Struthio camelus: one gene and its partners. The protein of the gene in region 3 interacts with the protein of the main gene of each other region in a biochemical or structural test. Links are inferred from orthologs where the notes say so. Each region holds a gene or a part of one and is shown on either strand. Other genes may lie near its edges. The genes, in order: ENO1, SNCA, FYN and FASLG.

Evidence for each region.
Region 1: of the proteins of FYN (region 3) and ENO1, one has a biochemical effect on the other in vitro, tested with the Homo sapiens proteins (2 studies listed by BioGRID). The link is inferred for Struthio camelus from reciprocal best matches to the Homo sapiens genes FYN and ENO1.
Region 2: of the proteins of FYN (region 3) and SNCA, one has a biochemical effect on the other in vitro, tested with the Homo sapiens proteins (3 studies listed by BioGRID). The link is inferred for Struthio camelus from reciprocal best matches to the Homo sapiens genes FYN and SNCA.
Region 4: the proteins of FYN (region 3) and FASLG form a complex in vitro, tested with the Homo sapiens proteins (4 studies listed by BioGRID and IntAct, with this or other methods). The link is inferred for Struthio camelus from reciprocal best matches to the Homo sapiens genes FYN and FASLG.

What each region holds. Positions count from the first base shown.
Region 1 is NC_090962.1:5,393,062-5,400,464, reverse strand, and holds the start of ENO1 (alpha-enolase), read left to right. Parts: upstream 1-4,389; 5' UTR 4,390-4,405; coding exon 4,406-4,513; intron 4,514-7,403. UniProt on the Homo sapiens protein: Glycolytic enzyme the catalyzes the conversion of 2-phosphoglycerate to phosphoenolpyruvate. In addition to glycolysis, involved in various processes such as growth control, hypoxia tolerance and allergic responses.
Region 2 is NC_090945.1:13,021,273-13,028,527, reverse strand, and holds the start of SNCA (alpha-synuclein), read left to right. Parts: upstream 1-4,238; 5' UTR 4,239-4,621; intron 4,622-6,393; 5' UTR 6,394-6,413; coding exon 6,414-6,534; intron 6,535-7,255. UniProt on the Homo sapiens protein: Neuronal protein that plays several roles in synaptic activity such as regulation of synaptic vesicle trafficking and subsequent neurotransmitter release.
Region 3 is NC_090944.1:61,357,492-61,365,299, reverse strand, and holds the start of FYN (tyrosine-protein kinase Fyn), read left to right. Parts: upstream 1-4,805; 5' UTR 4,806-4,849; intron 4,850-4,855; exon of another isoform or gene 4,856-5,304; intron 5,305-7,808. UniProt on the Homo sapiens protein: Non-receptor tyrosine-protein kinase that plays a role in many biological processes including regulation of cell growth and survival, cell adhesion, integrin-mediated signaling, cytoskeletal remodeling, cell motility, immune response and axon guidance.
Region 4 is NC_090949.1:8,983,310-8,990,601, forward strand, and holds the start of FASLG (tumor necrosis factor ligand superfamily member 6), read left to right. Parts: upstream 1-4,285; 5' UTR 4,286-4,340; coding exon 4,341-4,730; intron 4,731-5,107; coding exon 5,108-5,153; intron 5,154-7,042; coding exon 7,043-7,096; intron 7,097-7,292. UniProt on the Homo sapiens protein: Cytokine that binds to TNFRSF6/FAS, a receptor that transduces the apoptotic signal into cells. Involved in cytotoxic T-cell-mediated apoptosis, natural killer cell-mediated apoptosis and in T-cell development.

The DNA of each region.
Region 1 (7,403 bases), on a different chromosome or scaffold from region 3:
AGATCTATGCATGGGAAGTCTCATTTTGTAGAGTCTCAGGTGTGACCTAGAGCAACCTCCTGGCAGAGGTGTGACAGTGCAAGATGTTGGAGCATGCTGAGTTCTGCTCTGTTCTTTCCGTCTGTCACACTGATGGAGGCCTCACCCCCAGCTACCTTCTTGGAAAAAACCCTGGAGCACTAAGGTGTGCAGTGAACCTATACAAAGCAGAAGGAGAGACAAGCAACATCAAAAACAAATGCACGGAACCAGCTTTTCCTTCTCACGTTCCCCAGTATGTCTGTTGGATCCCTTTTTTTTTAAAGTAAGAAAGGAGAGGGGGATGTCACTGACAGCTGGTGTCAGACTCCAGAACCACTCCCCGCAGGAGCGTCATGGAGCCCTCTCCCCATGCTATGATAGCTCCCTTTGATTGCTCTGGTTTGCACAGTGCAAGTGCCCAAACATCTGCAGACCTGAGAACTTGACTCCACAGGGTCACTTGGGTCATCCATCCTGCAAAGCCATTGGAGAAGATCCCAAGAATGTCTTTGTCTTTCCCCAGGACAAGTGTCCCGCCAGCCTGGGTCACTTACCCTTTCTGGATACTCTTGGCTTTACCCACTTCTCCGTTCAGCCATAAATCTGCCATCCCGGACTGGGAGGCCCATGCCATGCACTAGTGCAGCCAATTTTCTGACTCACGGTGCAGAGGGAAGCTGATGAAATGGCCTCCTATCCACAGCCCCACATGGGCACCCACAGTCACCACCAGCTCCTTGTCCCTCTCCTGCATGGAGTAGGAGAGAACAGTCTGACGGCCCGCCTGCTGGGCTCTGGTCCAAAAGCATAAGGTGAAAGCATGGAGAGTCATACTGCGCAGGGGCTGAATGTTCACACAACTCAAATGTTTTCCCCAGGGAAGTAGAAAGCTGGGAAAGGGCTAGATTTAACACCTGAAAGAACCAAAAAGAGTCAGCTGTTACAGTGCCTCCCATGTCTATAAATCAGACCAAGTCCTGCAGACTCCACCCATGGCAACGGGCAGGGCTGTGGCAGTCTTAGCTGATTTAGCTGCAACTACTGGCATCTGCCGTGTCAACAATGAATGAGCTTGAAATAATAAAAAATTTAGCTCCCTTGCCTATTTGCTTTGGGAACATTGTGTTTTTTCCCTCCCTCTGTTCTCACCCTGTGTAAAATGGAGACGACGATTTGCCCTAGGGGAACTGGGAGCTTAAATTCCTGACTGCTAAGCTGCAGTGCGTGTGAGAGTAGCTAGTTTTGTGCTAGACCTAATGATAACGTGGCTTATGAAAATTCTCCGTCTGGCCCAGATTTGGGACCACGTTCTACCTGCATGTAGCGGTACCAAAACCGTTAAGCGCTTAGGGCAGCAGGGCATGGGCTCTTCATCCTTGGAAGGGGTGGGAGGTAACCGGGAGTTTAACCTATAACCCCATAGATGCATGTTGCTTATCAATCTGGCTCCCTCTGTTGAGGAACTCTTTCTTCATGTCCTGGAGCTGCATCTGGATTTGCTCCGGTCAGAGGCTGAACTCCTCTGGAGAACATTGATCTAGAGCAAGCAGACAGCTGCATTTACTGAAGGCCAGGACCTGCGCGCGGTAGGGTTTCTGTTTTCTAGTTTGTAGAAGATTGGGGGAACATCTTTGTTTTAAAATGGGGTGCCTCACCGCTATACGGTGCCTGGCTAGTAAGCCCTGCCAGAGCTGTTTCTGCAGTGGATAGGATACCTCAGCTGTATGAACACAGACAGGCTTGAACCTCCTATTTCCGCGTGGCGTCACGCAGCAGCGCTTATCCCGGGATGGCTGCGTGACGCACCGCGGCGGCAGAAACCGGGGTTTGGTGCACAGCTTAAAACCACCGCTGCATCATAAGATGCCAGATGCGTTGGCAGGGGGCAAGGGGGCACACGGGCCATCTCCGCCTGCTGTGCGGGGACACCGCTGCTCCTGGGGATGACGGTCTTGGGCATCCTACCTTAAGCAATTTCTAGCTTGACCCCTTCCAGACAAGTTTCCTGTTCCCTGGCGAAGGCCAGTCCTGCCTGCTGACTCCCTTTACCTAGGGCGAGTTTGGCTCTGAAGGAGGCCTCCACCACGCGGTCGTGGAGGGGCTGAGCGTGTCAGTTCCTCAGGGTCCGCTTTTGCCAGTCCGGCAAGGTGTTCTCCAGGAGGCCGATCTGTGAGTAGCGCAGCCTTATTACAGAGGGCTCTTATCAGCTAATTGACGATGAAGGCGTTTTGCCTGAAGGACGTTATTTTAACGCCTGCCTGGTAGCGTGCGTGATGGAGCTTTAGCAATTATTCTGTAGCGTACTGCTTCCCCAAAGTGCTTCCTAGCTTTCCCCCTGCCACCGAAATGAATGTTTCTTTATGTCAAACGTAAAGGCGCTGTGATCCTCCGCTACCGTGACCTCCTCTCGGTCTAGTTTTTCGCCTGGAAGGAGGGCTAACTGATGCTTCTGCTTCGTTAAGGAAGGTGATCCACCCTGCAAGGCTCGTTGGTAAGCTTTTTTCGCTAGCGTTACTTTGTTCCCCGCTAAAGCCCTCTTGCTGACAAGGCAGACAGAGAGAGAGCAGAGACGGGGACCCTGCCGCGCGACAGTACGCCGCTGCTGGCACAACCGCGGTCGCTCCGCAGCGCTCCGACGCGCCGGGGCCTTGCACCCAACAAGGTCCTCTCTCGTGCCCCTGCCCTGCTCGCCCATCACGCGGCTAAAATTCGTATCAGGCCGCTACTGAAACGAGATATTCCAGCTGCGCAAGGCAGGCGTAGACCAGAAAAGAGATACTTTCCCCAAAAGTGCTATTTATTCTGCAATTATTTTAATCCTATGAACATCTATGAACCTCACAGATGAACATCACCTATGAACAATCCTACGACCATCTCCCTTTTTTTCTTTTCTCTGTTTCTTTTTTCTTTTCTCTCTCTCTTTTTTCCCTTTCCGCTCAAACGCTGTCCTGCAGCAGTTCTGCCCTGTTGACCCTGGCTGGTCTCTTGCTTTTTATTTTTTGTAGCGTTTCAGCCTGGTCGAGCGTAACTGAGCTTTGTCGTCGCTCACCAGACGCCAGCTGATCTCGCGCTGTGCAGAGGGCGAACCTTACCGCGGTCTAGCATCGCGGTGTGGTCACGGTCACCCGTCGTGCCAGTTGCTTAGGAGGCTGTCTCCGAAACCCCGCGTGAGGAACCCGCCGTTAGCTCCTCTACCGGGTCGTTGCCAAAAAATCGCTGGTGAACGGAAAAGGTAAGTGTGTTAGGAAAAAATAAAAACTAAATAAAGCGTGGAGGAAAGAGAAGGTGCTGGGAGCGGGAAGCAGCTAGTAGCGAGCTGTGCGTGCGACGGCGCGGTCGGAGACTCAGAGACGGCGCAGGTCACGCGCTCGGCGGGGTTGTCGGGGAGCCCCGGCAGCTGTAGAAGCGCGGGAGGTTTTCTGGCAGCACGGCCTGGACATCCGGAGGAGTGAGCCTTGCTGAGTGTCCTCCAAAGGCAACAGAGAGGCAAGATTAGCCAAAACCGGTGAAAAGGCGAGAGCGACGTCAGCGGTGGGACCGGCAAACGGCGGCTCCCGGGGAGCAGAGCGGAGCGAAGGGGACGGTCCGTGCAGCGGGCGGGCTGCTGGAAGTGAGTCTCTACCGCTGTCGCGCGCTGACCGCCTGGGCGGGCTCTTGCGGCGGCGCTGCGCGGGCCAGGGACGGCACGAGGGGCAGGCTGAGCCCGGCTGGGGATGCCCGAGGACCGCGGCAGCGAGGCGTCCGTCCGCAGCCCTCTGGGCCGAGCAGGCCCTCAGTTAAGGCCTTCAATAAAAAAGGCCGCCGTTGTCCGTGGCGGGGTTGCGGGGGGAGCGAATTAGCTATTCCTAATTGCAGACAGAGCTAATTGCTTCCTATTGCTTCCAAGGCGCGGGTACCTCGGTCATAAACGTGCTTGGTTTGCGTACGGAGGCCGGCTGCTTACGCCGACGCCGGTCCCCGCCTCGTGCGGCCCAGCGGGAAAAACTGAGGGGGGGGGAAAAAACCAAAATCTGCTGATCCAGGAGAAAGCGTGCCGACACCTGAGCCGCGCCGGCTCCGACCACGGATGCTCCGCCCGTGTTATTCGCCTTCCTCCTGTCGCTCTCGGCGCTGGTTTCCGCACCCACCGGTCCCCGCGCACGAAGGGCCGGCTGAGACCCGCCGCGCTCATCGCACGCACGGCCGCCGCGGCGGCAGGCCCCGCCCCCCTCCCTGCGCCCGGCCCCGCCCCTCCGTGGGATTTTCCATGAGCCCGGCCCAGGCCGGCAAGCGCGGGGGCCGCCGCGGCACGTAGCGCACGCGCCCCGCGCCGCGGCTGGGGCGAGGAGGCGGCTGGGGCGGCGGCGGCCAATGGGGAGGCGGGCGAGCGCCGGCTCGGCCAATGGGGAGGCGGGAGGGGGGCGGGGCGTGCGCACGGCGTGGCCCTATAGCCGGGCGCGCGCGCGGCCGTTGCTTCCCAGTCGGTTGCGAAGCGGCGTCCGGGCGGCAGGTGAGTGAGGCGGCGGCGGGGCCCGGCCCGGCCCGGCCCGGCCCGGCCCGGGGCGCCTCTCCGCTCCCCTTCGGCCTCCCGTGGGGCCGCCGCCCCCCCCCCACCCCCTCTGTCGTCCGCGGCGCCGCTGAGGCGCGGCCGTTGCGAGCGAGGCCGCCTCGTGGCGGCGGGGGTGGGGGGAGGGGCTGGCTGGTGCCTCTCCGCGGCCGCGTTAACGTCTCTTTCTCTCTTTTAATCATTAAGCAGCTGCTGTTGGACGGCGCCTCGCGGATGGGGCCTCTCTTCCCCCCCCCCCCCCCCCTTTAGGGATGTCCTTCAACTCCGCCGCTCAAATATTTGGCGTTTGGCGGGCGCTCGGAGTGTCGGCAGCGCTGGGGGAGCGGCGGGGGCGGCAGCCGGCCGCTCGGCCCGCGCCTCTGGGCGGGTGATGGAGCGTGGAAAAGGGAGGAGAGGGGAGGGGAAAAAAAAAACCCAACATTGGCCTCTCTGCGGGCTCGCCTCGTGCTGCAGGAGAGAGGATTGGGGCTTTTTGCCTTGTTCCGTTACTTGCTGCTGAGTCACAGGGTAGGGCTGCGGCTTTCTCAGCCCGGCAGGAAGTAGGGATGTTTCTGGCCCCAACCCCCGAACTGAGGCAATGCAGTTTTCAGGCCTCCATCTTATTAAAAGAGAGAGAGAGAAAGTAGCTCAATGCATCCTTGACTGATTCTGTGCCAGGCATTACTTAAAGCACGTTGCATCATGTTGCAGAGCGCAGGTGTGCGTTAACACTGCTTGGAAACCCAGGGGATATGACCAGAAGGTGCCCGTGTTGGTCCCCACGTGTCCCACCTTGAGGAATGTCTCAGTGTTAGGAGTATATTGTGAGCTCAGGGTCTAGTAAGCAGGAATGTTTCATCAGAGTGGGGATGCCATGAGGCTTGCAGTTTTACGGGTATCTTTTTCAGTGTGATGGGGGACTGCCACTGGCAGCTGTAGGGCAGATCGCTAATAAGACTCCTAAACTAAGTAGAATAGTTCTTCCTGTGGCCGAACTACTGTTTTTTTATTCCCCATTCAGGTTCTTGCAGTGCTCTGCCTTAGCCCTGTCTTGACTTTAGAGAAACGTGGCTGCAAAACAGCTCACATAAGTAGAACTCTTAGCAATAGAGTTAGCTGTAAGGTGAATTTCTGTGAACCATTTTAATCTAGGCTGGAGCAGTCTGCATTGTAGTTGGAGCGTTACGTTCCCTGTGCAGAGCAGAGATCAAGTAGGGAGTAAGTGGAGCTTTGATAGTGGAGGTAGTGTTAGAATTGGCAGTCCTGTGTTGGGCTGTAACTTAGACTTGAAGTAGGTAGCAACTTAATAGATGTGCTTCTAGGAAGGTAGGGAAGTTGGTGTGCGTGATACCTCTCCTAAATGACCTTGGGACAAATGACCTTGGCAGCAGACTGCAGTACAAAACAAGGTTTAAGGGAATACGTGCATATAAAAGTCCACTCTGGCATGTGTTTGGCTAATTCCATCGTTAAGTACAAAGATCTGGAATAGGTATTGCTAATGATGAGCTAGCTCTTGTCGTGCTTGTGTCCGGCTACTGTTTTTAACAGTTAGACCTATGCTATGCATGGGCTAGCTCTTGCTTTCTTGCTGAGGTGGCTGAATAGGATTGAGGCAGAACACTTGTGCTCGGCTTGTGATGACACAAACAGCATCAATCTTTTTTTAGCCAGGAATAGCTCCATAGGAAAATCATTTCTTGAAAGCAGAAGTGAGGGGGCTTGTAAAATGGGTTTAAAAAAAACTGACACGGAGAATCTCTGAGAGGATGCAGTGCTGCAAAATGCCTCCCTGTAAAGAACAGGGAAGGACTGATGGGGAGGTCATTTGCCAAGGACGATCAAGTACTGTGCTCTGCCAAACCTGGGGGGTAACTTGTGGTGGAAGCTCTTGCAGTGTGTATTCCTAGAGTGCCCCCTTCTTTGTGAAGGTGAACAAACAGTTCTGTTGCATGAGGACTTCTTTGTGAGGTGGCTATTAACCCAAAAGAATGGGGCATCTAATTTTTTTGTCGAAGCTGTGGTTCTGAAAACGAAAGTAAGGCATAGCAGGGGCCAGCCGAATCAGCTTTGAAAGCCCTTTTCAGGGATTCTTGCCATTGCTTAGTGCAAGTGCAGAGGGATATGTGCCTGTTGATATGGCTGGGACTGATAACTGGGGAGTTGCAGAGATTTATTTCTAGCTTACACACTGATTTAAAATTAAGTAGCAGCAGTATAGAGGCCAGCTTGAGCCAAGTTGCCTTGCTTCTTAGGGCAGTCATATAACTTGTCAGCGTTTGGGTCTTACAGTAGAGCAAGCAATATCTTAAAATACTCTAGCTGCCTCAGAACTGCTTTTCTGAGACAGGAGCAGCTGGAAGGGGTTCTTTGAAGCTGGTGGACAAACCAAATGTCTGCCTGTGCCTTTAATAGAGACAGTAAGCAGGAACTTGAGAAGGGAAAATTTTTACAGTGGAGGAAGAAAAAACGCATGAAGCTGATATCCCCCCCCCCCCAAGTATTTCTAAGAGCCTGTTTTAGTAACTTTTTGGTAACTGCAGAGATGTGACTATAACTCTGTATACTGAGTTACCACCCATATTGGCTTGCCAAAAAGCCAGCTGCCAGATATTTCTGCTTCTGAGGCTCAGCTTTCTTATCTGTTGATGCACTAGTTCTCATACCAGTCCATGGCTTACAGACATTTGAATAAGCTGATTTTTAAATACTGCTAGATTTATGTATGATGTTCCTTACTGCAATTTTTCTAAGGAGAAACTTAGAACAGAAATAAAAGTTCAAAGGATTGTAGTGATCCTTTCCTTTTAGGAGGCAGGGTAGGCTATTCTTGTAGATACTCCTCTCACAAAAG
Region 2 (7,255 bases), on a different chromosome or scaffold from region 3:
TCAGGGAAGAACTTACAGTTATACTAATAGTGCTATGGAGATAACCTAGAAAAACAGGTGTTGTAGATAATATTGTTTAAACAGGAATAACCTTGGAGATGCAGTTCTAATTCCCTACTATATTTAATTCTAGACTAAGTCCCACCCATTTGCAGAATGAAGAATTTATCATATTCATACTCTTTTTTTTTTCCTTTTGTGTCTCTTATGCTCCAATCTGAAATTTTTCAGAGGCAGCTATTTTGAATCTTACAGCTGAATGTTTAAATCTTATTTCTACTGTGCTAACTGATCCCTCTTGTCTTTGCCTCTCTACTTTTAACTAGCTGTTTTTATTATCCTGCAAGCTGTTGCTTTGCTTAGTACTAGAACAACATACTTCCTTTTGATAAATACGAGACAAAGAAGAAGCCTTACAAAGGCTAAGAAGCAGCTGTAAACCTCCAAGTTCTTCTTCATAGAGTTTTAACAAAATAAATCCAGTTTTATATTAATTTATCAAAAAGCAGGATTTTATTTTCATACTCACTTACATACCGGACAAAGAAAATCTAACTTCAAAGCGAGAAGATAACTTTTAAACAAGGAGCTCAATACTGGTCCTTTAGAAAGGCATTCTAATTTAGGGACTAAGGTTACTGGCCTGGGTAGTAGTGTTTCACACAGCTGTAAGGAATGATGAAAGAATGGCTTCCGACAAGCCCTAAAGTATATAAACTGCTGGGCTTGCCAACGTTAAAGTTGGTGTGTAGGGTGAGTCTGAGTAGGCCTTGTGTTTTTGTAACTGCTTTATGTGCTCTCCTAAAAGTTAGCTTTCTACCAATATGAAGCTTCTACTAAAGGGTAAGATGTTACACTGTTTTTGCTATGGTATCGCTGAGGCTACAGGAAATACTTTAAAAATACTTTGTGACAGTAAGGCTTTTATAGTAAGCAGGGTTTTATTTTAGTGGCAGAATGAAGGGTAGAACTTGAGCTTAAGCTTTCTACCATGTTATCAAAGGCTTCTCCTCATAGCTTCTGTAAACAATCATTGTGGGGGAGTATTTCATTGTGTGCTGCTCTATTTTTCTGTATTCATCTTTTACTGTTGTAGAAGGGTATAAGTGATGTAAGAAATACTACTAAGACTTTGACTCTAACTGTACACCTGGACATGGTGCAGATGTCCCTTTAAGTGAAGCAGGTCAGTTAGGTTCAAAATTGGCTACAACTTACATAAGAATACTTAAGGCTAGTGGCACTAAGTTTTATGCTGGTGATTTGGTCTTCTGTGGAAACTTTGTAAGAGGTAAGCATGAGAGAAACAGCAGTTATAGCACATAAGAAACTGTTATGACTTCAGTCAGATCAATATGCTTTGGTGAAAGTGGCAATACTTGCCACAAAAGGCAGTAGCCAACCTCTTTATAAAACTGAGCACTGAAGTTTAATAGTATAATGCTCTCCCCCCCCCCCCCCCCAAACTTAAATTGTTTTGGTAACTGACTTATGATCATTTGGCTAGTGTCAGTAATGTTATGCTTCTCACTAAAGCACCTTGGTGCTTCTTAAAGTAGCCTTAGAAGTTTCTTTAGTTTACCTTTAATTCTTAAGTTGGCAAAAGGGAGCTTGAAATTGAAAGTAGTTGCTATTTTATTATTTTGTGGAGGGAGTTTGAGGTTTAGCTGAGTGATTGGTTACAGAATGTCTAATTAAGGAGAATAGAAGTTTTAACTATTTCATTATCCATTTCCTGAGATGGCTTGTGTCTTTTAGCTAGCTATAGGGCATTTGTATATAACATGTCCTATATTTGTATATAGGGTGTTTAGCTGCCTCCCTCCTTGGAGGCAACAATATAACGAAAAAGGAATGTTTGAAATAGCTTGTGAAAATAAGTATGCTTTTGATATAATCTGCCAGGAACTACTCACTGATTAAAAACTTCATTGTTAAATTTGGTTGTCACACTGCAATGTGATGCACGGGTGCAGAGGAGTTCTAAGACAACAGAACTTCTTACTTCTCTGGGGCTCTTCAGGATTGCAGCTTAGCAGGGAGTTTGTAAAAACATATATTTGTACTTCTGAATCTTATCCTTTGAATTCCTAGAAAGTTTTTCTGGTTTCTGCTACTGTTACTTAAAATTTTAAAGTAGCTGAAATATAATGCTCAGTTAAATCTGTGACTGAAATAAAAATGCAGCTAACAATCCTGCTTGTCCTGTGACAAAAACTACTGATTTTCATTGACTTGTGTCTCCATAACTGCCTGTTTCCCAGAGTGAAGCATAAGCCAATTTTTACTGAGTTTCTACAACCTGTCTATTGACCTGGAACTCTACAGGTTATTTCTGAATCTTGACTTTTCTGACAGTGTCGGAAGGAGCTGTCATAAACGAAAAGATTAAGGCCTGGTAACACCATTTTCTAAAACAAAAATACCCTCTGTTAGTGTATGTATCTTCTATATATTGCTGAAATCCTTTCTCCAAGGCATCTAAAGTGTCTTATATACAAACATCATAAAATACTGATGATAGGCTGTGGTAGATGTTGTGATGTAGCAGAATCAGTGCACACTGAGTCTCAGATTGTCAACTGTATTTTGCAAAGAAGCCTTTATATTCTTGAAACTAATCTTGGAAAATTTCTGTTAGTGGAATGTTCCTTGTAAAAGGTACCTGGGAACTTAAGAACTATTGGTAAAAGGCCTAACTCTGTAAAGATCCTAGGCACTTCAGTATGTAGATAGTTCACACGGGGAATTTTCCAGCTGCTCTACTCTCCTTGACTCTGAAGATTCAACAAACTACATTCTAGAGCAGATGTATCAGTTTTGACATGTACATTTAAGACAGTCCAGAAAGAATTGACATATATGGTCAGTGAAAAAAATGAAGCTACTAGGTGCATTCCATACATGTTCTTTCCTTATGTCAAGTGCGTGTGGGGAACCCTGAACTCCAAGGGATTAAGCTTTTTGTTGAATATTAAGTAGAAATACTTAAATAACTGAGAATTAAATAATCTTTGGGAATTCTATTACTGTAAATAGCAATAATGTGGCAAGAAAACTAACTTCTCACATGTAGAAAGCATACCCCTTTGATCTACTGTCTAATAAATGATAACTATGTTCCTTTGCCCACAAGTTAGTTGTCTCCCTATCAAGAACGAACATTTCCTTAGTGTGAAGGAGATGAGGTACCTAATGTAATTACTATGCTTTTAAAGCCTTTCTTGAAGGTAGAATTATGAGGAAATGATTCATATTCTCTATCAATATCTTACATAAAGACAGTACACTGCTGAACACCTGATTAAAACTGGTAGCAGGATAAACCAAACAAGTTTTCTTATACAGTAGAGAAACATCAAGGCTTCTAAAGGAACCTTCCAGCTGCATGTTCAGAATGAAACTAAAACCAGGGGAGCAGCAAATTCCTACATAGGATGAGGAATGGAAGATGTTTCTTGCAAGTCAGATCGTTGTATTGGCTACAGCGTGTTCTGTCTGTCCTTTTGGAGTAGAATAAACAAATGGAGAGGGAAACTTTCTGTAGGTCATGCAGGATTTCAAACAGTACATGAACTAGTGTACTATGGCTGCAGGTCCATCTGCTCTAATACCTTGTCTCCTGCTGGTCTTGGCTTGTCATGCCTAAATAGGGCTACCAAAATAGAGAACAAGTCTGACAGCTTTCCCTTTACTGAGGAAAAAGTTTCATAAATGCATCAGATTGAGACATGAGTAGCAGTGGCTATGAAGTGTATGGTGGAGGATGCTAAGAGGGGCACAGGGATTGGCAGGAGCTAGGCTGTGTGTTTTGTCATGTTCCTGACTTGAAGTGCAGATTTCTTGTGTGATAGGACTAAGTCAAATTGCATCCTCAAAAGCATCAGTCTCTGCATAAAAAATGACCTGGGAACATAAATATTATGAAAACTCAGTGGCATTTAACTCTGAAGTCACTTAAGAGCAAGGATTTAGAAGTAGAGGAAAAAGTAGCAAGAGGCTTACAAAAAATTCCTAAGCCTGAATGAAGTGGAACATAGGTGGATTGCAACTGCCATCAAATACATACACTTCCAGGTGTCTAAAGACTCTGTTTTGAGCAGGTAGTGGGTGTGCAGAGCCACAGGTGAGCGAGAACCCTGGTCTCTCTTTTACTTGTCTTCCCCTCTGGATCTGCCTTGACTGGGGAGGGGGGGAAGCTCCCAATTTATCATGCCTCCAACTTCGTTTTCACTGACGAAGCACGGAGGTGGGTGCCAAAGATACGTGAGGCCCCTGACGCGATTCTCCCGTGGGGAGCAGGCGGCGGGGGCCGTCCCCCCGCAGCAAACCCCACCACAGGGTGGGGCGGGAGAAGGGGGGTGTGTGTGATGGGAGCCTCCCTCCGCCCCTACTTCCCTCCCTCCCGCGGTGCTTCTCTCTCCACCCCTCGCCCTGCCTCTCCCTCACACTCGCTGCTTGCCGGGCTGCCATCGAGGTGGCGCCAGGAGACCCGGCTCGCTCTCCCGCGCCTCAGGGATGTACTGAGAAGGGGGCAGCTCCCCTCGGGCCTCTCCGCGCTTCGCCCTTTTCCTCGCTTCAGAGCCTCCTCAGAAAGGGTCCGCGGCGGCGGAGCCCGGCGGTAAGTGGCGGTGAAGGGGGGGGGGGGGGCGCCCGGGGCGCTCCGGGGGAGGGGGGGAGAGGGCGCCGCGTGGTGTGGCAGCCGGGAACGTCCCTTTCCGTTCCTGTAATGGCTAGGGCTGGGCTTCGGTATTATATATAATATATATATATTTATTTACATACACACCTCCCATTGAACATCATTCTGGGGGGACGGGGCGGGGGGACGAAGTCAGGTGGTTTTGCCAGCTTGTCCTGTCTGTGTCAGGGGGAGCTCGTGGGTGCCCCGCTGGTCACGTCGCCCTGCTCTTCTTCTCACTAGGTGCCTGTCTATACGTGTATGTGTATATATATATATATATATATATAAAAAATATATGGCCACGTCGCCCTGCCCACTCTCTCTCTGAGTAGGTGCCTCCATGTACGCAGGTCACGCTGCCCTCCCTCCCTCTCTGTAGGTGCCTCTCTCTCTAAATATATATATATATATATATGTATAAATGTATATGCGGTGGCGCCGCCCACCTCCGTAGGTGCCCACGTACCTGTTGGCGCTGCCCCCGTGGCTGGGGACGTGCCGGCGGCCGTTGGGCGCGCGGCCGTTGGGCGACCGTTGGGTAACGGTTGGTTGGAAGCGGGCGGCGCGCGGGGCGGTGGGGAAATGGCGCCGCGAGCGGGAGGGTCCGGCGGGCTGGTGGTGATGGTGGCGGCTGCCCCTCTCCAACCGCTGCTCACAAGCTGGTAGAAAGCTGCCGCAGCCCAGGTGTTTCCCTAGACGTGCGTTCCTCCTACTCCGCCTTCAGCGCAGAGGAGAAAATAACGGGCGCTGATTCTTTTTTCTGTGTGGGTGGGGAAAGAAGAAGGAAAAAAAAAAAGGCGGTTGATAACTCATTTGTTGAAGGGAACTTGACTTTTTAGTTTTAATTTAAACGTAGTGCTGGGTTGCGCATCTGTCGCAGAACTAGTTTGCTAGCTTTTCTGCTTTAAACATTGCATATCCTTGCTTTTTTTTCCCCTCTTTACAAAATCTTTTCTCATTCGTGGTGCATGCAGAGAACACACAGAGAAACTCAGTTTGCAGAAGAGTGACACTGACTGTGCACAAAATGCTGCATACTGGGGGAAGAACTCAGCTCTTTTTATTTGCTGTAGGTCCTTTTTGGTTATAACAGCATTTTCTCCTAACAATAGCAAGTGAACCTTTGTCACTTAGGATTTTTTTTAAAGTTGGCAGTGTTTATGTTGCCTTTTTTCCTCTGCATGAGCTGATGTGGAGTGTCATCAAATCACGGGGCTGAATCTTGCAATCAGTACATGAACAGAACTTCACTTTGAAGGGAGCGGTGCCTTGGTAGAGGCAGTGAAAGCACTTGTCGTAGCAACGAATCCATCTTCCTATTGGCACTGCGTTATCCAACCCCTTTATTTATAGGTTTCTGTTGAAATTTCCGAACCCGTTCTTGGCTTGTGAGAGTACTGCTCTTGCAGTGCTGTTTAATTTGTTATGTGTGGCAACGTATGAGAAAATGTAAAGGAGATTCGTGTAACAGTCCTCTTTGTGTTTAGCTGTTGTATAGTTTATCTGAAATACTGAATGCTAGCTTAGTATGTACGTATTACTAGGGAAATGTGGATGAAAGCTACAAAATAGATGGGTGTAAATTATCTATAGTCTAATTTTTAAATAACTGATTCCAATCAATTTGACCAAAATTTTCCTTTTCTGAAAAAAGCAGAAAACCTCTATTTGACCTGTGTGTGTGTGGTGGTTTTTCCTCTCTTCTCCAGAGCTGTGTGATTCTGCAGCCATGGATGTGTTCATGAAAGGGCTCTCCAAGGCGAAGGAGGGAGTCGTAGCAGCAGCAGAAAAAACCAAGCAGGGTGTGGCAGAAGCAGCAGGAAAGACGAAAGAGGGCGTCCTCTATGTGGGTAGGTGAGCAGCGGAGATCATGCTGCTAGTCTGGTGTTCCCTGATGTTTGTGCTCATCTGCAAGAATGAAGGTTGGGTTCTCAGAGCTACTCTTCTGGGTTTTTCGTTCTTTCTTTTTTTAAAAAAGAAAGCTCATAGGAGAACCTTGGAAGACAAACAAGATGAGTTGAGCCCTCCTGGGTTTCGTTTCTTTGAAGCTGAACATTGGTTTTAAGCTGTTGCACTGTGCTGTCTGTGTTGCTACACTGTGGAGCCATATATGTAGCCCTATACAGAACAAGATGTGCATCATAGATGGTGCCTTACAGCACAGGAGACCAGCTGGCACTCTGTTCAAGAAGTATACTCCATTAAGGTTGGAGATGTGATTTTTTTTGATACAGTAAATGATATAAAAGCTAAAATGGAAAGAGGCTTCATAGAATCCTGTAGAACCTGTGGGTTTTCAGCAGTTTTTTCTTTCTTTATGAGAAGAAGCTTGAGAGGTTCACTCAGGAGCTGATCATAAACCATGCTGGCTGCTTTGTCTCGGAATAAAATGAAGTGGAAGGGAACGCGCTCATTAGGAAGGAGCCTGTTCTCTCTTTTCTCAGTTTTTAAGATCCCCAGCAGTAACATTTTTGTGTGGCAGTGTCATCTTGTCTTCTGAGATTACCCTCATGTTCAACACAACTGTACATCCATAGCTGCTTCTCTCTATGCCTCATTAATGAAGAGCTA
Region 3 (7,808 bases):
CTATGATGTTTCTGGGCTGGATTACAGATGCACTGCTGTTCCCAGTATTCTTCTCCCAGTCTCCTCACTACCATTTAAAAAAAAATATTTTTACTGACAGTTAGTACATTTTATCAACTTTCACCAAGAGTTTAAAATGTTTATTTGAGTAAAAATAAGAGTAAGATTTGTGTCTGACTTCAGTAGGTTCTAACTTTTGATAAGTCTAGATTCATAGGAAGTTTTGAAGAGGTGGATTTAAGATATTTTATGTTAACTGTTTCTAGATTTCCTCAGGTAACCCTATGTGTGTTTTTCCCCCATATCTGCATGTTAGCCACACAGAGCGTAAACACATCTGGAGCTTATAAACCCAGAAATTTAACTTTCAGAAAATGCATGATACCATTTGAAGACGTAGCATTACAGTTTAGTACGTGGTTTGTGCGTTTGGGAAAATCTCTGTGAAATGTCTTCTACTTTGTTTTTCAGGTACGTTCCAAGACAATAAAAAAAAAAATTGGTACGGACCTAAACACTTGTAATTAGCCCTTCTATAGCAACAAGGAAGGCCTCTAATGGTTATTATTTACAGCTATAATTGTGAGCAAGTTTCCTTCTCCACCTGCTCTCACAAATGGTCTACATACTATGCAAAACGCAAAGCTCTCTTCTAGCCCTGCCAATACCCTTCCTGCGGTTGGAGCACATTAGCACTATTAGCATTCAAGGGCAGGATGAAGAGCTCAGCTCAGCCCCTTCCCTTCCTCTTCCACGCTGTTGTTCCCACGCTGAAGCCAGTCTCCCCGGGGAGCCGTATCCGCCACCTTAGCATCCCGCCGGAGTAATCATCAGTGAGTCAGCAGAACCCATTTAGCACTCCCCAGCCAAATCAGCTCCTGAAAACACAGTAGGATGTTTCAGGCAAATACTGTCAGCCTCTTAAAATACTGTAGGCAAGTTCTGATCGTCTTTTTTTTTCCCCCATTGCTCTGTAATTATTATTATAATATGCTATACATGACAGTCTATAGCTGGTAAAACATATACAACCAAAAGCAAAATGAATGGAAGCGTCACCGAGTTAATAAAGGAGGAGGAGAAGCATAGTAGAGCATATAATGCAATGAGGCCGATCAGTGATTATAGACGTACAGTTTTGAGTCAACAATTTGAAGGTGACATTTGGGGATCCTTCCGAAAAGTAGTTCTATTCAAAAAGATTGTGAAAAAAGACACCATAGAACCAGACACTTTTTGGATCTTCTTAAATACAAGTTGCTCTTGTACTGACTTTTTCAAAATATGGCTTGGAAGAATCCAGCAAGTAACACCGATGTTTTCACACAGAGACAGTCTAGTTTTACCAACAGTAAAGCTACCAGCAAAACTGAACCACTCTACTGTTCTGTTCTGCACACAAACTACTCTTACATCTCCTCGGTATTACAAACTTCAGCTTCAGTTTTGCATGTCAAAATATTACCTTTCAGTTCAAACTGTGGATGTTATTTATTCAGCATACATTCACACTCTGTGTCACTGATTTCTTGCCCACTGACAAGTGAGGTATTACGAACACAAGTGTCTCATCCCATGACTGTGGCACTACATTCCCAGGTGCTAAATTATTAATACAAATAAATCGTAACCAGCTTCCATAATTTTCACACTGCTCAGTTACAAAAATGGCTTGGCTTCTTTGTTACTGTAGCAGAATATGGGATAGGAAGGAAAAGGGTAAAATCTTGACACAATATTGGTTAGCATGTGGGACTCTGCAGAATGAAGTTTTTGACTTTTCATGTCTTCCATTGAGGCTACAGAGGAAGAAGTATTTCAAAGGTCAGGACTGCTAGACTTTGCTGAAGAAGTATTTTAAGGTGAGGCTGGAAAAGGAGAAAGCAGCTTCGCGTGCAGAGAAAGGCTATGTAGATGAAGGTGGGAGAAAACAGTATTATAGACTTAAGACTAAAACGCTTAGAAAAGCTAAGGAAGCAGCAGCAGAAGGTAAAGAGCTGCTCCTGTGTTACGTAAGTACATTTAGTTATTTCTGCTGTTTAGCTGGGAGGATGCCTGTCAAGATTTTCTAGATGATTCCCAAAGGCTGACATCAATATGGCCAGACCGTAGCTGTGAGGGCCAAAGACAAAATCTGCTGTGGGGAAGAGCTGCTACCTGCCCGCACCTGCGGGCCCGACCAGCATAGGAGGCCGTGCTGCACCAGATCTCGCCTCTCCCACGGGGGTCCGCGGGAGCTCACAGCGACTCTGCTGCTCCTTATGATCCTAAAAGAGATTACAGCTCCCCTAAAGGGGAAACCCATCGCTTCTTCCCTTGCTTAATGACATACCAGCACTTGGTTTCTGCCTCCACACCTTGTTCCTCTTTAGCTGTACTAGCTCAGAGCATCAGACTTTCTGTGGCACGCTGCCAAGCAGCCAAGCAAGTTTATCTGCCCAGGCTTAGAGCTGCTCTGTGGCTGATGTGTGATATTGTTCGGGTTTCATTGATCAGTTGGTAATTTTCTAACTTGGCTCAAAAAAAGAGTTGCTGCTCTTTTCTTTTTTTTTCTTTTTCCTCCTTTGTGCCATTCTGGTTTTAATTCGCAGCAAGAACATTCAAAGCTTTGGACAAGGATTTTTTTCTCTCACTTTTTTGACTGTAAAATTAAGTAAATTTCCTAAATCTCTTGCTGGAAGAACATCTGGTCCTTTGATTAAAAAATGGGAGGCTTAGGGCATAGAAAAACGCACGTTCTCCTAGAGTCAGGCACTGTTTTTTCTACTTAGGAGAAAAGCTTGGGATATAAAGCACTATTGGCAGTCCTGAAAATCAACAAGCTGGACGTCCGTAATTCTACTCGCCTCCCGGACTGCACCAGGCCCGCTGAGGTTGGTCTCTGCTCAGGACCTCTGCTTTTCCTGAACCACTGCCTGCCTCTGGCATAGCGCTCTTTGAAGCACTGAGCACTTTGAAGCCAATAGGACCAGGATACTCTACCTGGTACTTCTGGAAAGGCAGAGCTAGACTTCTGTATTTAAGTTCTGCTATCACCCACTAGGACGCAACAGCAAAACTTTTTTCAGTTGATTTATGCACTTCTGTTTTTGTGCTGTTTTTACATTCTATATGTTAAAATTAAAAAATTGCATGGAAAGAGCAGGAGGCAAACTAAAAATGAGCTACCTAAAAGCCTGAAAAACGTTTGCTTATACTCCTATAATCAGATTTTAATTGAGAAACAACATGATCGGCACCTTTCTTTTGGAATTCTCATCCTCTCCAAGTTTTTCATATGAGCCAATGGAACAAACTCTATAAGGTCCTGAAATTTTATTCTCAAAAAAGAGTCATCTACACAGACAGCCAGATAGACGAACCATTTCTTTTTTTGCTGTGAACACACAACTGTAGACATTCTGGTAGAAAATAGTGTTACATTTGAACCTATTAAAACTGTAATTTCATCAAGAAATCGAATCATCAAGATCAAAAGATTCCCCGTGTAAAATATCAGCAGGTAAAAATTATATCTGGGGAAGAGACGAAGAGATAAACGGAAACCTTATTTATTGCAAACTTGTATTATACTTCTTGGTGCCCTTTCAACATTTATTCCATTTCTCTTCCTCTGCATCTCTCTCTTACACGTCTCTCCTGTTTTTGTTGGAGTGTAGAGCGCAATCAGTGATTTCTTCAGTGTTAGGGCAGATAAACTTTCGAAGCCTGCAAGACGAGTGACAGCCAGATGTGCCAATCTCCGGCACAGGAGCACCCCAGGTCACTGACGGGGTTGTGTATGGCGTGCAAACGCTGAAGCTGAAGAGCCCAGCGCTTTTCAGTGTGTGTTGGCGGCGGACAGAAACACCGTGAGAAATGCCAGGAGGTACTACAGCATTGCTGAGACAAGGAAAGGAACAAGGTGTACGGAAACCTTTTCCTCTTACCTGTTTATGGAGCGAGGTATACCACAATTCAAGGACAGTAAAACCTGCATGTGCTGAAGCTCCAATAAAGGCTTTTAACTGTACTAAAAATATACATATACACTTCCCATAAGGTGGACATTGTTAGCTTACAAATCTTTCTGACAGTGATCTGAAATTCTCAGCAATTAAATGCAGATGTGGTATAAAACCATAGCTGTTTCCTTATAACCCACGACTGCCAATTTCAAGAATTAGGGATAAAAGAAAAAATAGACACCTTTTATAAAAGAGGGATAATCTACTTAAGGTTGTTCTCCTATTCATCTGTGATTCTGAGCCTTAAGGAAACACTTAATTCTTGTTTCCCGCTCCTGGGCACCCTCGGAGACAATGCACCTCCCCGCCCTTTTTTTATTTTTTTTTATGTTTTTTTTAAACAGAGGTTTCTGCCCGTCCGTGGGCCCCGGCCAGGCGGAGGCTGCAGACCCCAGCGCGCCGGCACCGCGGTCCCCAGCAAACGCGCGGAGCGGCGCAGGAGGCGCGGCGCGGCCTGCCGGCCGTCATTTTACGACTCCCTTCCTCCTCCTCCTCCTCCTCCAACTTCGCCCCTCTGCCCGGCCAGCCCGCAGCAGCCTCCCGCATAGCCCCGGCGAGCCACCCGCGGCCATGACCGTTACGAAGAGGCCGGGGGCGGAGGGGAAGCGGCGACCCGACCCTCCCGCCGCCTCTCCGCCACAGCCGCGGAGAGCGGGCGCTGAGGCGCGGCCTCCCCCCCGCCGCCCCGCCTCCCGCCGCCGCCGCCCGCCAATGGCGACGGCCGGGGCCTGCCGGCCGCCCCTCGCCATAGGCCGGCGGCGCTGCCAATCTGGAGCCGCCCCCGCGGCGGGGCGCGGCGCGGCGCGGCGGGCGGGAGGGTGCCGGCTCCCGGCTCCGTGCGGGTGAGTGGGGCCGGGGCGGCAGCGGCGCTGCGGTTGCGCCATCTGTCAGGAGCCCCGGTGGGAGGGAGCGCCTGGGCCGCGCTCGCCCGGGCGGAGCGGAGGGGAGGCGAAAGCAGCAGCAGCAGCAGCAGCAGCAGCAGCAGCAGCTCCTCTCGGCGGGGGGAGCCTGTGCGAGCGCATCTCTCGCAAGGCTGCGGCTCTGCCGGCCACACAAAAGCTGCCGCCTCCCGCTGCCGGGCTCAGCCCCGCCGGAGTTTGCCCTTCCCCTCCCTTCCTCCGCCCGCGGGAGAGATTCAGGGGAGGGGGGGCGGAGCGGTACCCCGGAGCTGCCTGTTATTATTGTCGCTGTCACTGTTGTCGGAAGCGGGGGGAGCCCCTGCCGCGGAGCCGAGCGAGGGATGAGGAGGATGTGAGTGCGGCGCCGCAGCCCCCAGCCCTGCGCTGAGCTGCCCCAGGTAACGGAGGGGCCGGCGCCGCCCGCCCGGGGAGGGGAGCGGGCGTTTCGGGGGGAGAGGGAGGATGCTCCGGCGTGTTTGTTTCCTTTGTGCCTCCCTCCGTGCGGGCATGGCGCTGAGAGGCTGTTTCGGGAGCGGTGGCGGCGGGTTTTGTCTCCCCTCCCCGCTGCCTCCTCGCCGGCTCGGCCCGGGGAGGGGGGGATCCGCCGGGCTGGGCCTGCGGCGCCGCGGCGAGGGCTGAGGGGGCGGGCGGCGACGGTTACGGGGGCAGGTGGTGACGGTTACGGGGGCGCCGCGAGGCCGCGGCGCCCGCCGGTGCCCCCGCCCCCGGGGTGCCCCGCCCGGGCCCGGCGGCCTCGCGGCGGCCGCCGCCTCAGGGCTCGCGCGGCGCCGGGCGCGGGAGAGGTGCCGGAGCTGCAGCACAGGGCTTTATTTGTTGCCGCTGAACTGCGAAAAAGGGGAGGGGGGGGGAAATAAATAAAAAGACCTTCTCTCCCTCTCGGGTAAACCGTATAGGATTTGCGCCTCTGTGACAAAGGCCTCTTTCAGGGAGGAAAGAAGGGGCGCACCAAATGCCCAAGGGTGGCAGGATGTGAAAAGAGGCTTGTTTCTTGTCTTTTCCCTAGAGCTTCTCTGTTTCTCCCCAGATGAGGCCGCTGAGCTGTTCCCAGTTCCTTCCCAGCCACATTTAGATTAGTGAGAGATACCAAACGCCACGCCACGGGTGCCAGGGTTTTGCTGCGTCTGCAGAGCTACGGCGTACATGTCACCAGATCTCCTGAATCGAATTCGGTTTGGTTTCTGCCTCCTTAGGAACTTGCCTTGTTCCATGTGGATTTTGCATGCGTAGGTGCTAGGAGAGGACACTTACTAAAGACAAGAGCTTCCTATCCTGGTCCGTTCAGCAGTGATGGAGGAGGCAGGGCAGAGTCAATGCTAAAGGAGAAGGTTTAGGTTGAGTGGAGAGCAACCCAGTTACTCATCAATCATTTGATACATTCTGGTTCTTAAAATGCTTAATAAAAAGTGGGAACAGCCTGGGCTTTCAAATGCATACCCAGCACTGGAAATGCCTGTGAGACCTTGTCATTTTCTTCCTTGTATACAACCTCCCTAACTCCCACATCCTTCCTGCCACCATCCTGGCAGCTGTAACACTTTCCAGTACCCCCCCCCCCCACACTTTTTTTTCTTTCTATCTTTTAAACTAGTATTTTGTGATCAAAGCTTAGAACAATTGTAGGTGAAGCTTTGTTTGTTTAGATGTTGATAGAGGAAGTGTTTTTGTTAAGGTTGACTTGTCTGATCTCCCTGGAAGAAGGAAGAGTTAACTCAAGGGACACTGTCAACTTGAAATCCAGAGAATTTGAATGATGAATGGAGAACTGTGTCCAATATTACACCCACTGTTGAGTTCCCTGCTGGAGCTCTGTGGTTTTTATAATCCTGTCTCCTGACTGTGTGGGTTTGTCATGCAGCGAAGGAGTAAAAACACACTTCAAACAAAGTTCTGTTAAGTGAACAAAGGAAGCTAGAAGAAAAATACCAGAGGACTGGGAAGGGAAGGAAACATCTCCAACTTTTCAGTTATATCCATGTCAGCCAGTGCTTGACCCAGTGGGAAATTTGGGAAGAGAGAAGAAATTATTTGTTAGTTTTTAAAACTGAACAATTTTTAAAAATTGAAACCAGTAAAGTAAAAAGATTTGCCCTCTCCCCCTCCTCACACTGTACAGGATTTATTTACCATCTTAATGTGTGTTCTCCAGAAGCAGATGACACTTGGTGGATGTCAGTAGATGGGTGACTTTTTAGAATTCTTTATATATATATATATATTTTTTTTTTTTGAAAAGGGAATCTCTTGGAAGAAGCACTGGGTTCCTTTTTTTATCCTGTCCCCCTCCAAATGAATGTTGTCATTTTGATAAAGAAAGTAATATGACCTAGTTAATGCTTTCAAAATTTGGATTTCATTTGTGGTAGGTTGCAGTTCTCCCTAGTTTGTTGAAACATTCAGATGATCCTTAGGAGATGGCCTGTCAGCCTCTTTGTTTTCCTCCTCTAACAAATCAGTATGTAAACTCATCTGAATGGCTCATCCTTTGCTAAAATAAGAATTTCTAATATGAGTTGTCTAATGATAGATAAGTGACTTTGGTGTTTCACAGTTTATGCCTCAGCCACATGATTTCAGCCCTTCTGTGTTATCTGCTGGGGAAAGATGTAGTGACATGAAACATCGCTTAAGTATAAAACCCTAAACAGACCTGAACACTGTTTTGAGATTGGCTAAGGCCAGTCTTTAATGAATGATGAACGATTCAAGCACATGGGCGTAGCAGAAAATGCAAGGCAGAAGTAGTGATGAAGATGATAGAGGGAAGTTACTTGTTAATTATGTCAAGTATCTTTAAAAGTTAGGACCCGCTGATAAGCTTCTATTCCAGTTGAGTAAGATAAAGCATTGGTGAGGAACTCATTATTTCTAAGGTACTGTAGAT
Region 4 (7,292 bases), on a different chromosome or scaffold from region 3:
ATTTATGCAGCACTATAGACTTTCAGTAGTTGTTTTCTAGCGTTTCTGCTAGTCACTATTGTAATGGGATATTTGTTGACACGTTTTTCTTCGTCCAGAACCCGATGAGAGTCTCCCTCTTACACTTAGCTTTTTAAATTACTATTTTCTATTTATTTTTTGGTAATTATTAGATCCAGATCATTGTTTAAGTTCCATTTTCCTTGCTACGCATCAGGAATAATTCCATCCTGTTGTCCTTAAACCTGCTGGATACAAACTTTTAGCTGTATTTCTTAGACACTGGCTGGTTCTCATCGCTGTCAGAATCTAGGTTTTGCTAATACTGAGTACTATTAATAAGAGCTCTCATCTTTCCTGGGGGTGGGGGGGTGGTCTTTTGAGCAAATCCTCCTTTTGTGTCTGCGTAGCTGTGGCTTACCTTCCGTTGTTTGTTTGTTTGTGGGCAAAGGAGATTCTCTGGTAAAGAGCACATGAAGTGTTTCCATTTGAAAATGCTTCCTCCTGTTCAAATGAGGGAGTATGGCTGCAGAAGACAGGGTGGGCCTCCTACAAACTGTGCAAAGAGAAAGATAGGGAGGCAGAAAGCCGTATCTGACTCCCATCTTGTCCCTTTGTGTCCGTCCTTTTTTCCTGCTCTTGGCCTTTTAGTGAAAGAGACTCATGTGACTCAGGTGTCTATGTTCAGCAAATTGTCCTGCTATTATTTCAAAAGCCCTGTTTATTAATACCATGTGGCATGTGAGCAACAGGAAGCCAGCAGAGCGCAGAGCCTGTAGGCATCATGACATCCTGCCCAGAAGCAGCCCTCCTTACTGCTCTTTTCCAGGATGTATCATCTCGGTGGTCTCTGAAGGTGGTCGTAAAGGAATCGGAGAGTGTGACAACAGAATCAGCATGGCAGGGTGTGCTGGGAAAGCAGAGGTCTCTGAAAACATGCTGGGCACCAAAAATCACCCTTTGATGGTAAAATAAGCCAAGCTTTGGTTTGCCGCAACATGCGGTATTAGCAGGCTCTTGATCTGAACATCCGAAGATGCAGCATGGCTGAAATGCTTTTCATTGACTTTGTTGTCTCTGCCCTGTCATCCGCTCATAGAAAAGCGTCTCAGTGAAAAAAGGAAGCAGTGGGTGACAAATAAGTACATTTGTGACATTTAAGAGAGGCTCCTAATGTGCCCGCAATCCCACCAAGATGAGCTGTCTGCATTGAATATAGACAGCATCAGAAAAATCCTGAGAGTGGATCCTCTCTGGGCCAGGCTGCGTGCTTGGTGGCTTTTGGCCATCCCTCCAGCTCTATATAATTGTGTGGGGCCATCCAGCCCCATCCTTCAGGGCAGGACAGGTGTGTAATTTTGAGAGCTGTTGATGAGATATGTGCCATATAGCAAGGGTGAAATCTGCTTGTCTGGACAGCCAAAGTGAGGTACCTATGCAGAGCTGACTGTCCCAGGGCCCACGTGTAGGATCTAGAGCTGGGAAGAGCTCTGTAAGGTCGTAGTCCTTAGCTCCTGCCTCTTGCACCCAGTTCCTGTATAAACGCTCCGTTGGTCTCTGTCACAGCTCTGACTCCTAGTCACGGTACTGATCATAAAATTGAAAACTAAATGTGTGGATGGCTGTACAAAGTCCAGGCAGCAGCACTGGCATGGCTTACTTTGAGTTTTTGAGGGTCAGTCAGTCCCTGAACCAGCACCCCAAAAGTACAGGGGAGCTCCCTTGCTCTGTTCTGTGCTCTTCAGACAGTCTCCTTCCCTCCTTAGTAATTGGATGTTGCCTGTGTTGCCGGAGGAGGCTCTTTCCAACAGCCGAGCGCTCTGATGTCCTCTGTTATGCCGTAGATGTCAAGCCTTTTCTTTAAAAAGCGGTGAGAGGAAGTAAGTTTTGGAGCTGATGTGCTTGTTCCCTCTTCTCTGAGCTAGTCAAAGCTGGAAGCCCACCTTGTAGGGGGACCTGGCTTCTGGGCCCACCTCAGGCAGGGGTCTCACCCTGATGGGGAAGAACCCCAAATACATGGCTGGAGGAGAGGCAGGGGTAACCCTATCTGAAGAGAGGGTTTGGGGCCCAAGGAAGTCCCAGGCTTTGGTTCCTGCTCCCCAGCCCATCCGTGTATTTTACAGCAGCTGAAGGGGATACAGAGGGCTGTAGAAGAAATGGGGACTCCCTGCCCTGCTCAGCGTCCATGTTGCAAAGAGCCACAGGTGTGCTGCACTCACTGCTCTGAGTGAGGCAGTGCTGGTGCTGACCGCTGGGACTGTGTTGAGCAAAAAGCCTGAGTGGGTGGTGCATCCCCTGCGTGTGGCTCAGGTGCTGCATAGGCAGTGTGGGGAGCATGTTGATGGGAGACACTTGCCCAAGCAGCCTGCTGTTTCTCTCAGCTCCTGGCTAGAGGTTGTGCTCGCTCGCTCTCTCCAGCACTGGCTAACAGGGTGGACCAAACTCCACATCGGGTGCAGGAGGTGAGGAGCTGAGCCCAGCCCTTTGTGTGACCCAAAGGGTAATCCCACTTTTGTAATGATCCCACTAGCAGGTGACTTTGCCTGGCTAGTAGGCACCATTTCAGATGCAGAGAGGAGAATTGCATGTTGAGGGGAGGTGTGACCAGGCTTGAACTGCTGGAGCTGGATTCATGTTGCTTTTGTGTCTTTTATGTCAGAAACCTAGAGGTATAAGGAGGAAGGAGGACCCGCATAAGTTTCTGAAATCTCTCACGCTGCAGATCACTGCTTCAGCAAGCAGCTGTGGTGAATAGCTTCAAAACACAGTGGGGTGGCTGGTGGTGCAGGCAAGGCTTTGAGGACACATCAGAGTGTTATCGGTGTGGTTGGAGGTAGAGCTGAGCCCTTGCTCTGGAGAAGCTTGCATGCAGCTTTTGGTAAAGCATGCTGTCCTGAGATTCCAGTTTTTGATGTTCAAGATAAAAACCCGTGTGTTGGGGCTGCTTTGCTTGGCCACGTAGGAGACAAAACTCCAGTTTCCTCTTGCGTTAGGCAATTGCTTTTTTAAACATTGCCCCTATGCAAACACATACGCTGCCGTGCAGGCCTGTGAAATGGAAGAACAGATTGCTGCGGACAGTGTTTTTTGTGTGCCTGTAAATTGGTGGGACGATCTCATTGCCATCACTTAGAAATCTGTGGCCACTGAAGCCTTACATTGAAGGATGGAAACATTCCTGTCCCTGTCCTTCCTCATTATGATTTTGTAATGAGCCTTCATCTGAGTGCTGGTCCTTGAAGCATAGCTTAAACTCTGGATCCTTTCTAGGAAGGCAGAGAAATTCTACTGAGAGATGAGTAGCGCAGTGTCTATTCTAGGCTTTAATCATGAGATATACAGACTGGTTAGGTCCTGCTGCAGTTCTCAGCATTGTCCTAAAAAGAAAAAAAAAAACCAACCTTCCCAGCTCCAATGCTTGTTCAGTTCAGAACAGGACTGTGTGTTTAGTGATACTGTTTGCAGAAGTAAACAGGGAAGCAGAAGCTGCCAGAAGAAGCCTGATTTTGCTCTGACACGATGTGTGTTTCCTGCGTTACAGCCCACTGCTTGTTCAGCTTGGTCAGTGCCATGCAGTGATTTGGTGTGGGTGCAGACAGCCCACTGAGCCGGCTGTGCTTGGGCTGTCAATCCTGGGGCAGCTCTGCTGAGGCTGCAGCACTGACGTTGCCTTCCTCTTTTTCGTTACGTTGGTTTATTATACCACAGCATCTGTGACCAGGGCTCTGCTGTGTCAGGGATTATACAAAACTGTACACACAATCCCTGCCCTAGGGAGCAGGCAAAGGAAAGGTGGGATGTGCAACAGACTGCCCTAAGTAATTTGTCCTGCGCAAAATGAACTAATTCCCCAGTGCCCACAGTGACACTTGGGATCAGATCTTTATCCTTCCAAGGAGAAGCGTCCTCAGCTCTGCCTCCTCCCTCTTAGGCAGGCGGCCAGAAGCAGGACAGGCTTTGTTGTTCCCCTCTGCTCTTGGTCCTGGGCACCACAGGGCGAGTGGGCTGCGGAGAGCGGGCTGCTGGAAAGGGTCGTTGGCTGGCGTGCGTGCTGGGCTGATTGCTTAGCCCCTGGCTGGCAGCGCAGCACTCTCATGCCCTGCCAGTGCTTTACTACTCAGTGCACCCGTTCCTGAGCCTAGCCTTTGGGCACAGTTTTGTAGGAGAGCAGCCTGCCACTGGGTTTGTCCTGGTGTGTGTGCGTGCTGCCTCAGTGTGGGAGGAGCAGGCAGGCAACCCTGAACTTGCAGCTGAGGGCGGAAGCTCTTTGAGGTTTGCTGCTGATGCTTGAGGCTTTCATAGAGGCACAGCATCTGAGCTGGGTGTTCACTGCTGGAGCGATGAAGGCGTATAAAGGCAGAGGTGGGTCTTCCCCCAGGACTCAGTCTGGGTCAGCCCTGGCAGCTTTTGGCTGCCACATGGAAGATCACGCACAGCACGTCCAGCCCATCCCTCTCCCAGCCATGCAGCAGAACCTGAACTACCTGTACCCTCAGATCTTCTGGGTGGATGGCTGTACCAATCCCAGCACTTCCTGTCCTCCAACACCCCCCGTTGCCCCCTTCCCACCACCAGTACCTGATCGGAGGACAAAGCCAAGGGGCAATAGGGAAGGGAAGAACGTCGGCTTCCTGGTGGTCTCCTTGCTGATCCTGCTGTCTCTCACTGGAGTTGGACTGAGCATGTTTCAGATTTTTCGCCTGGAGAAGGAACTGGCTGAACTCAGAGAGGTAAAGTCTGTTTGGCTTGTCATAGAGGCTCTGGGGGGAAAAAAAAGAAAGGACAAAAACCGAAAAATGCATCTGAGGTGCTCAGGGGGTGCAGAACTCTCCATGGGGCAGACATTTGAATGTCTGCTCTCCTAGTGTGAGTAGGGTTGTTTTACATGGTAGAGGACTGCTCTGTTGGTGGCTATGATATGCCTGGATGTCTCTGTGTTTCTAAGTGCCGCAGGGTCTCTGTCCCTGTACATAGTGTTTCTTACCACTCCGCAGTTCTCCTTGAGTGTCCAGAACTAGTCACTGTCAAAGAGAGTCCTTGGCTGTTCCAGGTAATGCCGTTATGCTCTTCCCATGCTAAGAGACTTTGTCATCTTTTCTTTTGACAGTCTGCCAGCACTGAACGCATCCCTCCAGCTCTGGAAAAGCTCATAGGTGAGTTGATGTAGGTAGAGGAGCTCCCTCTTTGTAGCTTCTCTGAAATCTCCCATTTCACTCTTCCCTCCCCATGTCGGCGGGGGGGGGCAAAGGCAGGATTGCAGCTCTGATGTTCTGAAAGTGCTGATTTCACTCCTTTGGTTGGAATGAGAAATGTATCTCCAGAATGCGGGTAGGGCTCCCATACCCTGCCTGTTGGGAGGAAAACTGCCCTGGTATCACCCGTGGGTATGGGGACAATCTGCCCCCAGGCTGGACCTCCCAGTCCCCAATGGGGCGATGGTACTAGAGGGGCTCTAGAGTAAGTGAGTTTCTAGCTGCCCTAATATACAGCAACAATATGGATAGAAGAAGGAGAACAGAGATCCCAGACAGGCATCATTCGTGTTACTTCTTTGTTTCCTTACTTGTCAAGATTTTGGGAGGATGCGGAGGGTTTCATTTTCTTTGGGGGTGGACCATTCACTTCCTCCCTTGAGAGGACAACTTATATTTTCCTAAATTCTTTTGGTACAAAGTCTCACTGCAGCCAAAGCTAATTGAGAAAAGCCTGATGATATATATATATATATTTTTTTTTTTTTCTTTTAGAAATGTCTTTTCAGTGAAATTGAAACTTTCCACAAGAACCTGCCAATTTTTCTGAAATTTCATTTAGGAAAAAAAAGTAGAGTTTCTATTAGAATGGAACAATATTAAAATTATACTTGAAACTTTCAGACTTTTTTTTTTACTTTTACATAGCACGATAATGTTATCAGTGATAATATCCCTTTGCAAAGAAGGTTAAAGCAGAAAGAATTGTTCAGTTTTTTTGATAGATCTGAAAATATATTTTTTTCTTGAGGATTTGTTTAGTAGGAGAGTTCATTTCTTTTCAACTCTGTTCTGATACAGAATGAAAGTGAAGTTGGAAACAGCATAACTCCCTGGAAAGGGCAGCTCCTGTTTCAATTAACTTTGTAATCTGTTGCTTAGCTCTCCTTCCTCTGTCATTTTAACCAGCTCCTCAGTGCTCTGATCACAGGCTATTTTAGCAGCACCTGAATGTGAGGCATAAATACTAACCCCAAAATTCTTGAAGGTAGTAAATAAATAAAGCCAGGGAAATAGTGTAACAGAGAAGGCAGAGAGGAAAATGGAATTTGCCTGGCATGAGAAAAGAAGAGGCTTCTTTTAAAATCTGGGAACCTAGTGCTTGGAAGTGGGTGCTGAATGGAGGGGAAGGACAGGGTGGCATGGGCTCCAAGCACCCACCTGTTTTCACTGTCACTGGCCTCTCTCTCCAAGGGGACACAAGCCCTCTGCAGGAGGCCAGGATTTCCTAGCTATGTTCTGCCTCTCACAGGGTAAGGTCTGCACGGCCAGCAGGATGGTTTGCAGGCAGTCTCAAGTATTTTTTCTGGTCTAGTTGTAAGGAGGGTTGGCACTAAGCAGCTACCTGTCTGCTGTCACAGGGACGTGTGCCCCTGGCAGTGCTGGACTGGAAGAGGGCAGTAAAGCAGGCTCATCTTTGGCAGGACATGAGCAGTCACCTTGGCATGGGCCAGAGATGCCAGTTAATGGGGCAGGACAGCCCTCTCCTGCACCTTGAGGGAGACACCTCTGCTTGAGCTTATTGACTGAGCCATTTTCAATGAAAGCTGTCCTTGCTCTTTTGTTCTTCCCCTTGCTTTTGATTAATCTGGATCCTTTGCTGCAGTGCTTCCTTGCTGTGAAGCCTTTGCTTGAGCACCAATCTGCCTTGCTGCACCAGGCCGTGTTGCCCATGCACCTTGTGCTGCCCTGAAGCTGCCCCATTTCAGCATCACAGAGGGCTCCCTTCTGGTCTCTGGGCTGGCTTCTCCATGGAGCATGTGGTTAAAGTCTTCTCCGTTTTCATGTAGGGGAGAAGAGCGCGTCAGCGAAAAAGGAAGAGAGGAAGGCAGCACACTTAACAGGTATGTGCTGAGGGGTCAGCGAGAAGGGAGAGCGGGACAGGGCAGATGTGGCTGGGGCAGAAGGGCAGCCTGGTTAGAGCTGCGAGGATCCTGCTTCATGTAGGCCTTCTCAGTTTCCTTTGGTAACATGCATGCCCTGAGAGTTCAATGTCACTCCCGCAGCTAAAATCTTCTCCTTCATTTAGGCTTTTCAGTG